Linked DNA regions of Arabidopsis thaliana. The protein of the gene in region 1 interacts with the protein of each later gene in a pairwise test. Each region holds a gene or a part of one and is shown in the gene's direction. Other genes may lie near its edges. The genes, in order: SOM, AT2G17600 and AGL49.

Evidence for each region.
Region 2: the proteins of SOM (region 1) and AT2G17600 interact in a two-hybrid assay, tested with the Arabidopsis thaliana proteins (one large-scale study listed by BioGRID).
Region 3: the proteins of SOM (region 1) and AGL49 interact in a two-hybrid assay, tested with the Arabidopsis thaliana proteins (one large-scale study listed by BioGRID).

Annotation. Positions count from the first base shown.
Region 1 is NC_003070.9:952,506-956,801, forward strand, and holds SOM (Zinc finger C-x8-C-x5-C-x3-H type family protein), read left to right. Parts: upstream 1-1,784; 5' UTR 1,785-2,083; coding exon 2,084-3,265; 3' UTR 3,266-3,639; downstream 3,640-4,296. UniProt on the Arabidopsis thaliana protein: Probable transcription repressor that functions as a negative regulator of phytochrome-mediated promotion of seed germination. Inhibits seed germination by regulating the expression of gibberellic acid (GA) and abscisic acid (ABA) metabolic genes.
Region 2 is NC_003071.7:7,653,934-7,658,007, reverse strand, and holds AT2G17600 (Cysteine/Histidine-rich C1 domain family protein), read left to right. Parts: upstream 1-1,788; coding exon 1,789-3,531; downstream 3,532-4,074.
Region 3 is NC_003070.9:22,118,336-22,121,609, reverse strand, and holds AGL49 (AGAMOUS-like 49), read left to right. Parts: upstream 1-1,680; coding exon 1,681-2,535; 3' UTR 2,536-2,636; downstream 2,637-3,274. Other genes in the region: UMAMIT35 (Nodulin MtN21 /EamA-like transporter family protein), read left to right, coding at 1-60. UniProt on the Arabidopsis thaliana protein: Probable transcription factor that may function in the maintenance of the proper function of the central cell in pollen tube attraction.

The DNA of each region.
Region 1 (4,296 bases):
AATGTATTTGTAACTATTATAGAAATTTGTGGTACATGTTTTTGCATTTTTCAGTAAACATATATATATTTATTGTTTACTATTTGTATATATAAGTAATCATATCACTAAATACAAAATGAGAAGCTTTGGATTGTGTGGAACCATAATTTAAGTAAGGACATAACCAAAAATTAGATACAAAATGAGATACCAGTCCCAAAACATTGAACTTGCCAAAACCGAAACATAATGTCATGTAACAAAACCAGTGTTCTATTTGCCGTCGAAACAATATTAGTTAATTTCTCGTTTATACTTTAAATGTAAATTACCGCTTTCATCTGTATATCTGTTTTTGTCGTGGTTCTTCTATCCGATTCCAAATGAAAACACACAATTTCGGAACTTAATTTTATTCTTCAAAATTTTGGCATAAAAGTTAGAAATTGGTATTTTAAATAATTAATTTATGGAGTTGAAGACTTGTGAAGGTAGAAACCAAAAATGTATTTGCTTCCATCAGAGCCACGCAACAATGGAAAAAGTGACACTTGTACATACACATGCACCCGATTTTTAGATACATTAATAGATAGACTGAAAATTATAAAAGTAATTAAATATCATTTGTTTCCGCTGATAAATGGCGTACAAAATAAAAAAACGTATTTTTTTTATACGTGTTTTGTATTTAATCTCGTGCATATCCTTTCTGTGTTGTAAAGTCTTCTTAGATTCGTTGTATACAAGATCTTCTATAAGTTCGTGTATAATTTATTCAGACAAATTATGCGATTGTATTATTGTATCAAGAAATTAATTAAACTAGGTCTTTTATAAATAGGTTGTACGAGTTCTTTTTATTATAGTCATTAATATTTCTTAATTTTAAGTTAAAATTAATTAAAGTGTTCTACAGTTTAGTTGTGGTTAAATTATTTATATGGAAGATCTTTACATAATTAAAGTGTTCTACAGTTTAAGTTTGAAGAACGTCTTTCTTTACATATAAACTTTTCGAAGTTGTGAAACTATGTTCTTAGGAAAACAAGCTAAGAATATTATATTTGAATTTCGTTATATTTGTTATTTCGTCGCTTTTATGATCTTGAAACGTGATTGAACCTATAGTCCGAGGGGATGAACCAAATTTAATGTTTCTAAATCTACCAGTTAATTGTTTTCTTACCAATTTACTCATTTAATTTAGATGATATATTGATCGATTTTCTGTCATACTGATACTTATTCGGTTATGTACTACGTTATTTTACATAGCAGTTACGTATCCAAGAGAGTAAAAATTAATGATTTTAAGTTTTTGTTAAAATATTTTCTTCTAAGAGATAAAATTAAGTAAAAGAAGAAAAATATGAACACTTAACTTAAAATCCAAAAATACAAATTAATATATGAAAAAATAAGTAAAACTGCTTTAAATAATAATCCTAAGTAAGGAAAAATAATACTTCAAATGCTGATCGCTTTAACAAACAAGAATACTTATCAAACAGTAACATAATCATATATATGGGGTGGTTACTTATTTTTGGTATCAAAGTCACAAAGTACTTGCCTACTTGGTAACAAACTAGAAGACAAATTCATACATTATAATTAATTTGTTATAAAGTTAGTTGTTTTATCCTTATACTTTCAAGTATAATTCTAACAAAAAAACAAATTAGAAAGTAAATGGATGTTGATAAGGGAGAGAGAAAGAGAGGATGATGCTGATGAAAACATAGGCACATGTGTTAGGTCTGAAGCAAGGAGAGAAAGGCAGCTCCTGCTTCTTTTGCATGAAACCTCTCTAAAACTCTTCTCTTATCTCGCCACGAACCCTCTCCCCATACCCTTCACACGACTCCTTCCACTTTTTAATCTCTTGTCTTCTTATTACATCTCATCAAAATTCTATTTAATGATAATAATCCAAAGCTAACAATATTTAAATATACGTTTTAACTTATTCTCATGTCTATATCTATACTCAATCCACATATATATAAACCACAATATCCCATCTTTCATCTTACACAAATCCCTCAAAACCAAAACACATCACAAACAAAAAAAACAAGTTAGATATTATATCATCATGGATGTCGTTTGTACGGAACATCAAATGAGGAAGCCAACGGTGGAGATTCCTCCGAGAAAGCTTCTTTTATCTTCCAAGAGTTTTCCTTCTGATTCTTCTTCCCCTCGCTCGCCGCGTAAACATAACTGGAACAAAAGCAACAAGATTACATCTGAACATGAAGAAGACAACGAAGACAACAACAGAGAGAATAAAGAGTACTGTTATGATTCTGACTCTGATGATCCTTACGCAAGTGATCATTTCCGGATGTTCGAATTCAAGATCCGTCGTTGCACTCGTAGCCGAAGCCACGATTGGACTGATTGTCCTTTTGCTCATCCCGGTGAGAAAGCTCGCCGTCGTGACCCTCGTCGCTTTCAATACTCCGGTGAGGTTTGTCCCGAGTTTCGTCGTGGTGGTGATTGTAGCCGTGGAGATGATTGTGAGTTTGCTCATGGAGTCTTCGAGTGTTGGCTCCATCCTATTCGTTACCGTACTGAAGCTTGTAAAGACGGTAAACACTGTAAAAGGAAAGTCTGTTTCTTTGCTCATTCGCCACGTCAGCTTAGGGTTCTTCCTCCGGAGAACGTTTCCGGTGTCTCAGCGTCGCCTTCTCCTGCGGCGAAGAATCCATGTTGCTTGTTTTGTAGCAGCTCTCCCACGAGCACTCTTTTGGGTAATTTGTCTCATCTTTCTCGATCTCCGTCTCTGTCTCCACCTATGTCTCCGGCTAATAAAGCCGCTGCTTTTTCACGGTTGAGGAACCGCGCCGCTTCTGCCGTTTCCGCCGCTGCAGCCGCTGGTTCAATGAACTATAAAGACGTTTTGAGCGAGCTTGTGAATTCTTTGGATTCCATGAGCTTAGCGGAAGCGCTGCAGGCGAGTTCCTCGTCGCCCGTTACAACTCCGGTTTCCGCTGCGGCTGCCGCGTTTGCGTCGTCCTGCGGTCTGAGCAATCAGCGTCTCCATCTCCAGCAACAACAACCAAGTAGCCCTTTGCAATTTGCTCTTTCGCCTTCCACTCCAAGTTACCTAACTAACTCACCTCAGGCGAACTTCTTCAGTGATGATTTCACTCCTCGCCGGAGACAGATGAACGATTTCACGGCGATGACGGCCGTTAGGGAGAATACTAACATTGAGGATGGTTCTTGTGGTGACCCTGATCTAGGATGGGTCAATGATCTCTTGACTTGAGGGATTGACGGTGGAGATTCGCCGGGAGGAGATCTGACTTGAGAATGTAAATTTCGGTGGAAGAATTTTAATCACATTCATGAATCATGGGAGAATAATCGGTTCGTAACGGTTTGGTCAATGCATGGAGAGATTGTTTGTTCAAATTTATTTTGAAGATTTTTTTTTTTAGCTAATTCAGAAGTGTCTTGTGTATTGTCGTTTATTTTTTAGAATTTTCTTTTTCTGATGGGATTTTTACCAAATAATATGTTGAACTTGTAATATCTTGTGGACTCGGATTGTGCAATGTTTCACCAATTCTATAGATATTTTTCCCTTTTCATGTATACTTTGTTAAATCTTTAATAGATCAATTTGAACATTACAACCTCACAATTGAATATTGATATGTATATTGATCTTCTTTTTTGTTTTCGTCTTCGTCTGTTTTCATCATTGTGATATGTATATTGATTAACTGATGGTTTTTGTTTTATAGTTAATTTGTATTAAGCTTTTAAACGTATAAAATATCACTGGACGATTGATCACATTGCGTTTTCGGTTTACGCTATTAAGTTTTATAAATGATATTAAGATATGCGTTTCTTGAAAATAAATGTTTCATCTCATCGTATACCCTGAAACGTGTTATGTTTATGATTTAATTTTATGAATGTACCTATGCACAATTCTCGAATTATTCATCCCCCTCACCCTGAAATGTGTTATGTTTTGGTTATGCTGGTGCCTGGTAGACGAGAATACAGTTGTGTTAGTACCGTCTCCCTAAAGTTATATGTCACATCCTTTTTTGTATATAAAAAGGTGCGACAAGTTCTCCAATTGTTCTTCTTTGGACACCACACGAAAGCTAGTAGCTTTCATATGAGGCATGTGTATGTCATCGACAGATGTACATATCGAGACGTGTTGACTACATAATATTATAATATATGAGCACATACATGCATGTATGGGATCTATGAACATATATACTCCTTTTGGTGGACTCTATACTCATTGCTATAAACAAAGTGATGAAACAT
Region 2 (4,074 bases), on another chromosome or scaffold:
ACTTTAAGAACACTATCGTAAAAGCAAATAAATATTGCTGTTTTGTGGATGCATCATGGATATCTCCTACTGATTGTGCAGGCATTGGATGGATCCTCTATGATAGGAAAGCTCAATTTGTTCTGCGAGGAATGTCGTCTATACCCCCAACCAGCACACCGCTTGAAGCAGAAGCTGAAGCCCTTAAACTAGCAATGATTCATCTACAGAGGCTTGGTTATGAAGACATTATCTTTCATGGTGATGTTGCAGCTCTGTTTCAGCCAATAACCAGAACCACACATTCGTGTGAGTATTCACCGATAGCAACATTTCTCCGGGACATCGAAAATATTGCCGCAGATACAAATCGATTGGTTTTTCAAAAATCCCACGTGTCCTTAATTTTAAAGCTGATCGATTAGCAAAAACAGCTAGAGTACAAAACTCTGTCTTTGTAATATCTTGGAACGCTGTTTGATGTATCTCTTTTCATAATATAATGAAAAGTTGACGACAAAAAAAAAAAAATATTATTTATTTCTTTTCACTTTATGAAATTCAGTAATTATATAATTAATTGATAAATATTATCTATTTTATAGATACATGACATATTACATATATTAGACAAAACATATGAATTTGTGAAGAAACTAACCGAAATGGTGAATGTGTGATTAATGGAGAGGGCAAAATTGTTTGTTTTTTTTTGTCTCAGCAAAAGTGGCAAATTTAAAATACCAAAATCAAAATGGCAATTCTACAAAGATTATTAAAAAAAAATGGCTTTCTCATAATTGATTCAAATAAATTTTATTGTTTGCTTTGTTCAAAAGAAATGGACTAAACTAGCTAAATTGGCCGTTCCTCGTTCAGATATAGTCCATCAGCTAGGCAAAGTAATATGGACGACAAGGATGAGCGATAACAACGGCCATCACATTTTATTGTTTGTTTCTGTGTTACTAATGACGAGCTTTAATAATTAAAAGTAATGCTTCTCCTGTTGTAATTTATTTGTACTCTAAAGGTTTTGAGCACAGATTAAATCATCAAAATCTCATTTAGTTTATTTGTTTACATAAAACATCATTAATTACAACTAATTCAACCAATTAAAAAACCATATTGTAAAATAAAATTGGTCAAAAATTATTAAATACATTTAATTTTTGCATAGAAGATAATTTGTTGTTGTTTTTTGCAACAAAGGTTTTTTGGTTAAACTACAAATAATTAAAACAAAGGGAGTATTTATTTTGTTGTTGTTTGTGAAGTGATATATTTATATTAACGACTTTTCACCAAATCAGCTAGGATGAAACAAATATGAATTCTTTGTTGAAATTTCTATGAAATAATATATGATCAACTAATACATAACAAACATAAATTTTGTAAGCCCAGCCCACTCTATTAAAAGTCAATGGTAAGTGAAGGGGGCCAAACCACCCTACCCTGGCCTTGCTCACACCCTGTAACTCTTACGTATCTACGTATTCTTCTTTTAATTAATAAACAGTGGAATTAATTAATTTTGTTGGCCAAAAGAAATTCTTGTTAATTCGTTGTCACAGATGATATCAGTCTGGAGAGACAGATCATGTAATGAAGTTGTATTAAATTTAATCTCGTGTCATTTTTAATAGTATAATTTGCACTTCACATAATTTGTATATTGGGTCTACATTATTTAGTCGTAATCATATAAGTTGTGTCCACATTAGTCAAGTCATCTCCACACGATGGAAGTAATCATATTTTAGATAAACAGATTGGATCCTAACCAAAACTTTGAAAAAGAAAATGGCTGCTAATGAAGAAGAGCCAATATGTCGTTTGTCTCATCCAACTCACTCTCACACCCTCTCCCGTAGAGCCGGAAGAATCCCTCCATCGGGTTGCTTCGCATGCGACAAAGAAGAACCCTCACCATGTTCTACCTTCCATTACTCCTGCACCACTTGTGATGTGGAGTTCCACGATATTTGTCACGTGTATCCGAGGAAGCTCACACACCCTTATCACCTTCAACATCCTCTCACCCTCACCACTCAAAACACTGAAATAGAGATCATATCTAAAAACCCCGAATATGGTTACATATTCAAAAATTGTAATTGGTGTGGAGATGATTTGAGAGATGGATCTCAATTCTATCATTGTTCTATTTGTAACTTTTGTTTAGATCTCTCTTGCTCCCAAAACTTTCCAACTCTTACAATTACAAATCCAAAAAGCCACCATCATTCCCTCTTTTTATTTCCTTGGCCCCTCTTAATTCCATGTGAAGCTTGTGAGCTGGTTAGTTTGTTGGAACCAAGTTATACTTGTTTCCAATGCAACTATTTGGTTCATGAGAGTTGTATCAACTTACCGCGTGTCATAAAAATAACGCGTCACCCACATCGTCTCTCTCACACTCCTTTCCTTCCACCTACAACTCCATCTTGTCGAGTTTGCTACAAGACAGTCGACATCAAATATGGCCAGTATTCTTGCGATCATGAAGGTTGCTCTTATGTTGCCCATTCCAAATGTGCAACACATATGCACGTTTGGGACGGAAGAGAACTCGAATGGGAACCAGAAGAACTCGATGAAACTGAAGATATTGTGCCATTTAAGAAAGTGGGTGATAATATGATCAAGTATTTTTGTCATGAACATCACCTTAAGCTTGAGAAGTATGATAGTGTCCGAGACGCAAAGAAACAATGTCAAGCGTGCATCCTTCGTATCGACTCTTATGATTTCTACAACTGTGTGCAATGTGACTTCTTTCTTCACGAGGTATGTGCTGGTCTTCCTCGAAAATTGGCTCATGCATTGCATAAGCATCCTCTTGTTCTAGACCCTTCTCCTATACTCGATTACAGTTCCACAAGTTGTTCAACTTGCGCCCGTGAGTCCACTGGTTTCAGGTACAAATGTTCAAAAACTGATTGCGATGATGAGATAACAATTCAGATAGATTTTCGATGCATTTTAGTTCCTGATTGTTTCACCCACAAAAGTCATGAACATCCTTTATTCATCTCCACATCATATTCTAGAAAAGGAAACATTTCTTGTGATGGTTGCAAAGATAGTGTTCGTGATGAGTATTATCTGCAATGTACTATTTGCTCATTTGCTATGTGTTATCGATGTGCGACCATTCCATATGAGTTATACTACAAATATGATGCACATCTTCTGTCGCTTTGCTATGGAGAAGATGCAGAGAAAGCATATTGGTGTGAAGTATGCGAGAAAGAATTGAATCCAAGAGAATGGTTCTACTCATGCAACAAATGTTGTATCACTATCCACCTTGAGTGTATATTCGGATCTTCCGTTTATATTAAGTCAGGTTACACATTCTATTTCGGCTCTGCATCGATGAAAATTCTTGGGAACAATAGTCATACTCGACCGATTTGTTATAAGTGTGATCATCGTTGCCCGGATTCGGTGTACTACAAGTTGTTTGAGAAGGTTTTTTGTTCCTGGCTTTGTGTTTGGACATCTGACATTGAAAGTTTTGACAATGTCGAAAAGGAATAAGCCTTATATAGTTTTTGGGACCGTGAAGAGTTCTTTTGTAATAGATTCAACATTTATTATCTAAGTGTTTGAGTTTACATAAGGCAACAATGTAACCTAAGTTAATAAAGCCGAAAATTTTGGTTAGTGTTAAATGGACCATGAATATTACAAACTTAATACTGTAAGTAGGAATATTACTTCGTGTCTTTCATCTCAAATATATTATTATTTTTCCTTTTGGATGGCTTCGACTTTTCAGACATGGTCCGCTCCATATGTACGGTCCAGCAGAAAAAAATCAATTCATGCACAATTACATAAACTAAAATAGCCTAGCCGAAATCTTGACAAAAAAAAAAAGATAGCCTAGCCGAAACATAAACAAGAAACAAAGCCCAAAGTCTACATAGAGCCGAATGGTATAAAATTATTGGGTGACATATGATGCGTTGGATTATTTACGTATTGAAACTAAATAATCAAAAAACACTAATAATAAACTCAGGTTAATTGCTGTCATATAGGTTATCATAGTCTCTCAAGACATGTTTGGGAAAGACA
Region 3 (3,274 bases), about 21 Mb from region 1:
GATTCAGATGAACAGACAACTCCACTTTTGCTCGCGAATGGTGATTTTGATCAAGTTTAATTCAGAAATGGTTGTTCGCCTAATGTGTTTAGTTGTGTTATGTTAAACATAAATTAAGGGTAAGTAAATCGAAGAAATTATATATAAAAAAAAACATATGTGTGTGAAGCAAAACAAATATATATATAAAGTCTTGTAACGTTTTTTTGTATGAGAGGAATGTATCAAAGTCTATCAAAATTAAAAGTAAATTATGAGTTAAAATAAAACGAAAAAAATATAAGTTTTACTTTTTATCCAAATAAAACTCACGATGCAATCATATATGCAACCTCAAATGAGGACTAAATAGTAAATAGTTGTTACTTATATGAAACTACTTGAAGGTCCATCTTTGGCATTCGTCTCACTATAAACGGGAATGATCCGGTTGATCTAATTTAGTAATTTATATCAGTTCCAAGAGAATTTTCACAAACACTGAACCCAACCAAAACTCATTCGATATAATCAAACTACAATAAAAACAGTTCAAATAGAAAAAAAACCATAAATGACCATGAAAACAAATTGTGGTTAATGTTTTTGATATATAGCTACTAAAACAGTCAAAATTGTTTAACATCCAATTAGCTACATCTTTTTGCAGCACCCACCGCATCTGCAAAAAAAATGAATAAAATCCAAAACCGAGGTGAATGCTGAATCAGACACAAACCAGTTGTGGAGAGTTTGGTTGAAGACATGAATTCAAACCCGAAACAGACTAACCAAAAAGCTTTTCTACGAACTTTTCTTAAAAAGACACATTTGTTTAGTCATTAACTTAGAATAACTAACAAAATTATCTCTAAGCATTTGGAGGGTAATTATGCACTCAATTAGTTGCCAAATTATAAGTTGTATTGAAGGAGAAATTAGGTAAGAGGAATTCTTGATTTCGAAGGCGTTGGACTCGAATTACCCTATTTCTCTATCAATCCAACTTAATTTCGATTCTAGAATTCCTAGGGTTTGAAGAGTATGTTGGACGGTTTGTGGGATCTTATCTCTGAAAGCAGTGTTCTTATTGAAAAATTGGGAAAATCAATCGTCTCTCAGGTTTTTACCAATTACATGAGTTGTGAGTTAATTAAGGTTTAACGTATATGACCAGTTGTGTTTATGTTCTGCTTTGTGTTGTCCAATTATTGAGACCTTTTTTTTTTGGGCAAATCCAATTATTGAGACCATGTGTAAATGTTATTACTTTTTAAAGCAAATATGTAGGTAAATAAAAATAATTGACTTAAGCCAAATAATAAAATTGACAAAACCACTTAAGAAGACTGCGTCGATTTATAAAATATTTGTTGGCAATTAATTGAGGAAAAATACAGTTACGCGTTTCATAAAAACTAAATAAAATAGGATGAAGCAAAAAAAGGAAAATATCACTACGAGATCTAATGAAAAGACCTCACAAGATTTCGGACGCGCATATTAGATATGATTTTTTACGCATTTTCACCAAATTATGACCGTTGTGGGATTGAGGAAACCTAATCTTCTAAGTCTCTATATATTAAAGAATCATCATAGCCTTCTCGTTGCACTTCCCATTACGATCGAAAGTTCTCTGCTTTTTATCTCTCTCTCACGATTTAATCAAAGTTTCATCTTCTCTCTCTCTTTCAAAAGATGGCTCCTCGTCAGAAGAAACCTAACAAGTCCGATGATGATGATGGTGATTTGCATAGGAAGAAACAGAGCTTTTTCAAACAGAGATTTCCAGGCTTTAAGAAGAAAGCCTCAGAGCTCTCTGTTCTCTGCGGCAACTCTGTCGGTTTCATCTGTTACGGTCCCGACAACGATCTCCATGTTTGGCCTCAGTCTCAAGATCATAACCCACAAGCCCTACATGAGATCGTGGCCAAGTTCAATGCCTTGAGTGATGAGAGGAGGAAGAATCATGCATGTGATCTCAATGACTTCCCTCATCATCTCAAGGGTTTGTCTCGTGAGGAGTTAAGGAAGCATCTCCTTCACCTTGACTCTCAATTACTTGGAGTCAGGGAACAAAAGATAGAAATTCTTAAGAAGACGCTCACGGGTTCTTCCGAAAAAGATGGTGCAAGGGTTTCAGAGAACTCGGCCATCTCCGATCACAAGTTGAAGATAGAGCCTAATTTGACGGATATATTGTCAGAAGATCATCTAATTAGGGTTTCAGATAAGAAGCTGGGTTCGTGTGATGTATTTGACGAGTTGGCTTACGTGGTCCGCGGGTCAAGGAATTTGAACGAGAATGTTTCCAATTACGAATCAAAAGATGCAGCTTACACGGGAATGGATCATCTTGGCACTTTCGGCGGTAATTATCTTCAGGAGGCGGCGGCAGAACTTTACCAAACTTACAATCTAGGGAATTTTTGTGATGATCATGTTTGGGATCTGGAGTTTGCCTCAAGACTACCACCACTTCATACATTTAGCGATCCTCTCATGACCACCAATACTTGCCAAACGATGAGCTCCGATATGATTTCAATTTGATAACTTGATGACTACGTTAGTGAAATCATGTTTCTTTCACCTTTTCTCGGTGATTGATCATTTTTTAGTATCTCTTAACTTGTATGTTTGCTCCAACACAAATCCATGTTTGTAAAGTTGGTAGTTTTTTTTCTTGTTTATTATTGATTAATCAAACTTTTCCTTTCTTTCTGTTATTCTTTCTCTGTAACCCTATTTTGACTGCAACACCAACTTATCAGATAAACAAAACGTTGTAAACCATGCAAGAAACAAAGAGTTCATAACCTAAATTGCACAACTCGTTAAAGCTTCTAGAGCAGGGAATGAAAGTTATACATACTTGTTCAGATGTTAATTCACTGTCAAGTCTTGGAGATGCCTTGTTTTTAATGACGGATGACACGTTCTTTATGTCAATCTAGTGTTTGCTTCAGCAAGTCTTTCTGTCCCTCGACCTCGTGTTTACCAAGTCAACATTCCTAATCAGCATTCTCATAATTAGAACGAACTTCAGTGGAGTAACTCAACTGATCAACTTGTGACGTAAACACAAAATAAAGTACCCATGAAACTACATATAAGCTTTGTTCACGATCAAATTCATAAGCATATCCATGAATCAAATCCCCAAAACTTCAATTCTACAAGGCTTGCGATGCAATATAATTATTACTCTATATGCTATTTATTTGATTGCCACTGATTTGGCCACTACCACAAGTTTTAAAAAATTTGAGATAAAAATTGGCACATGTTC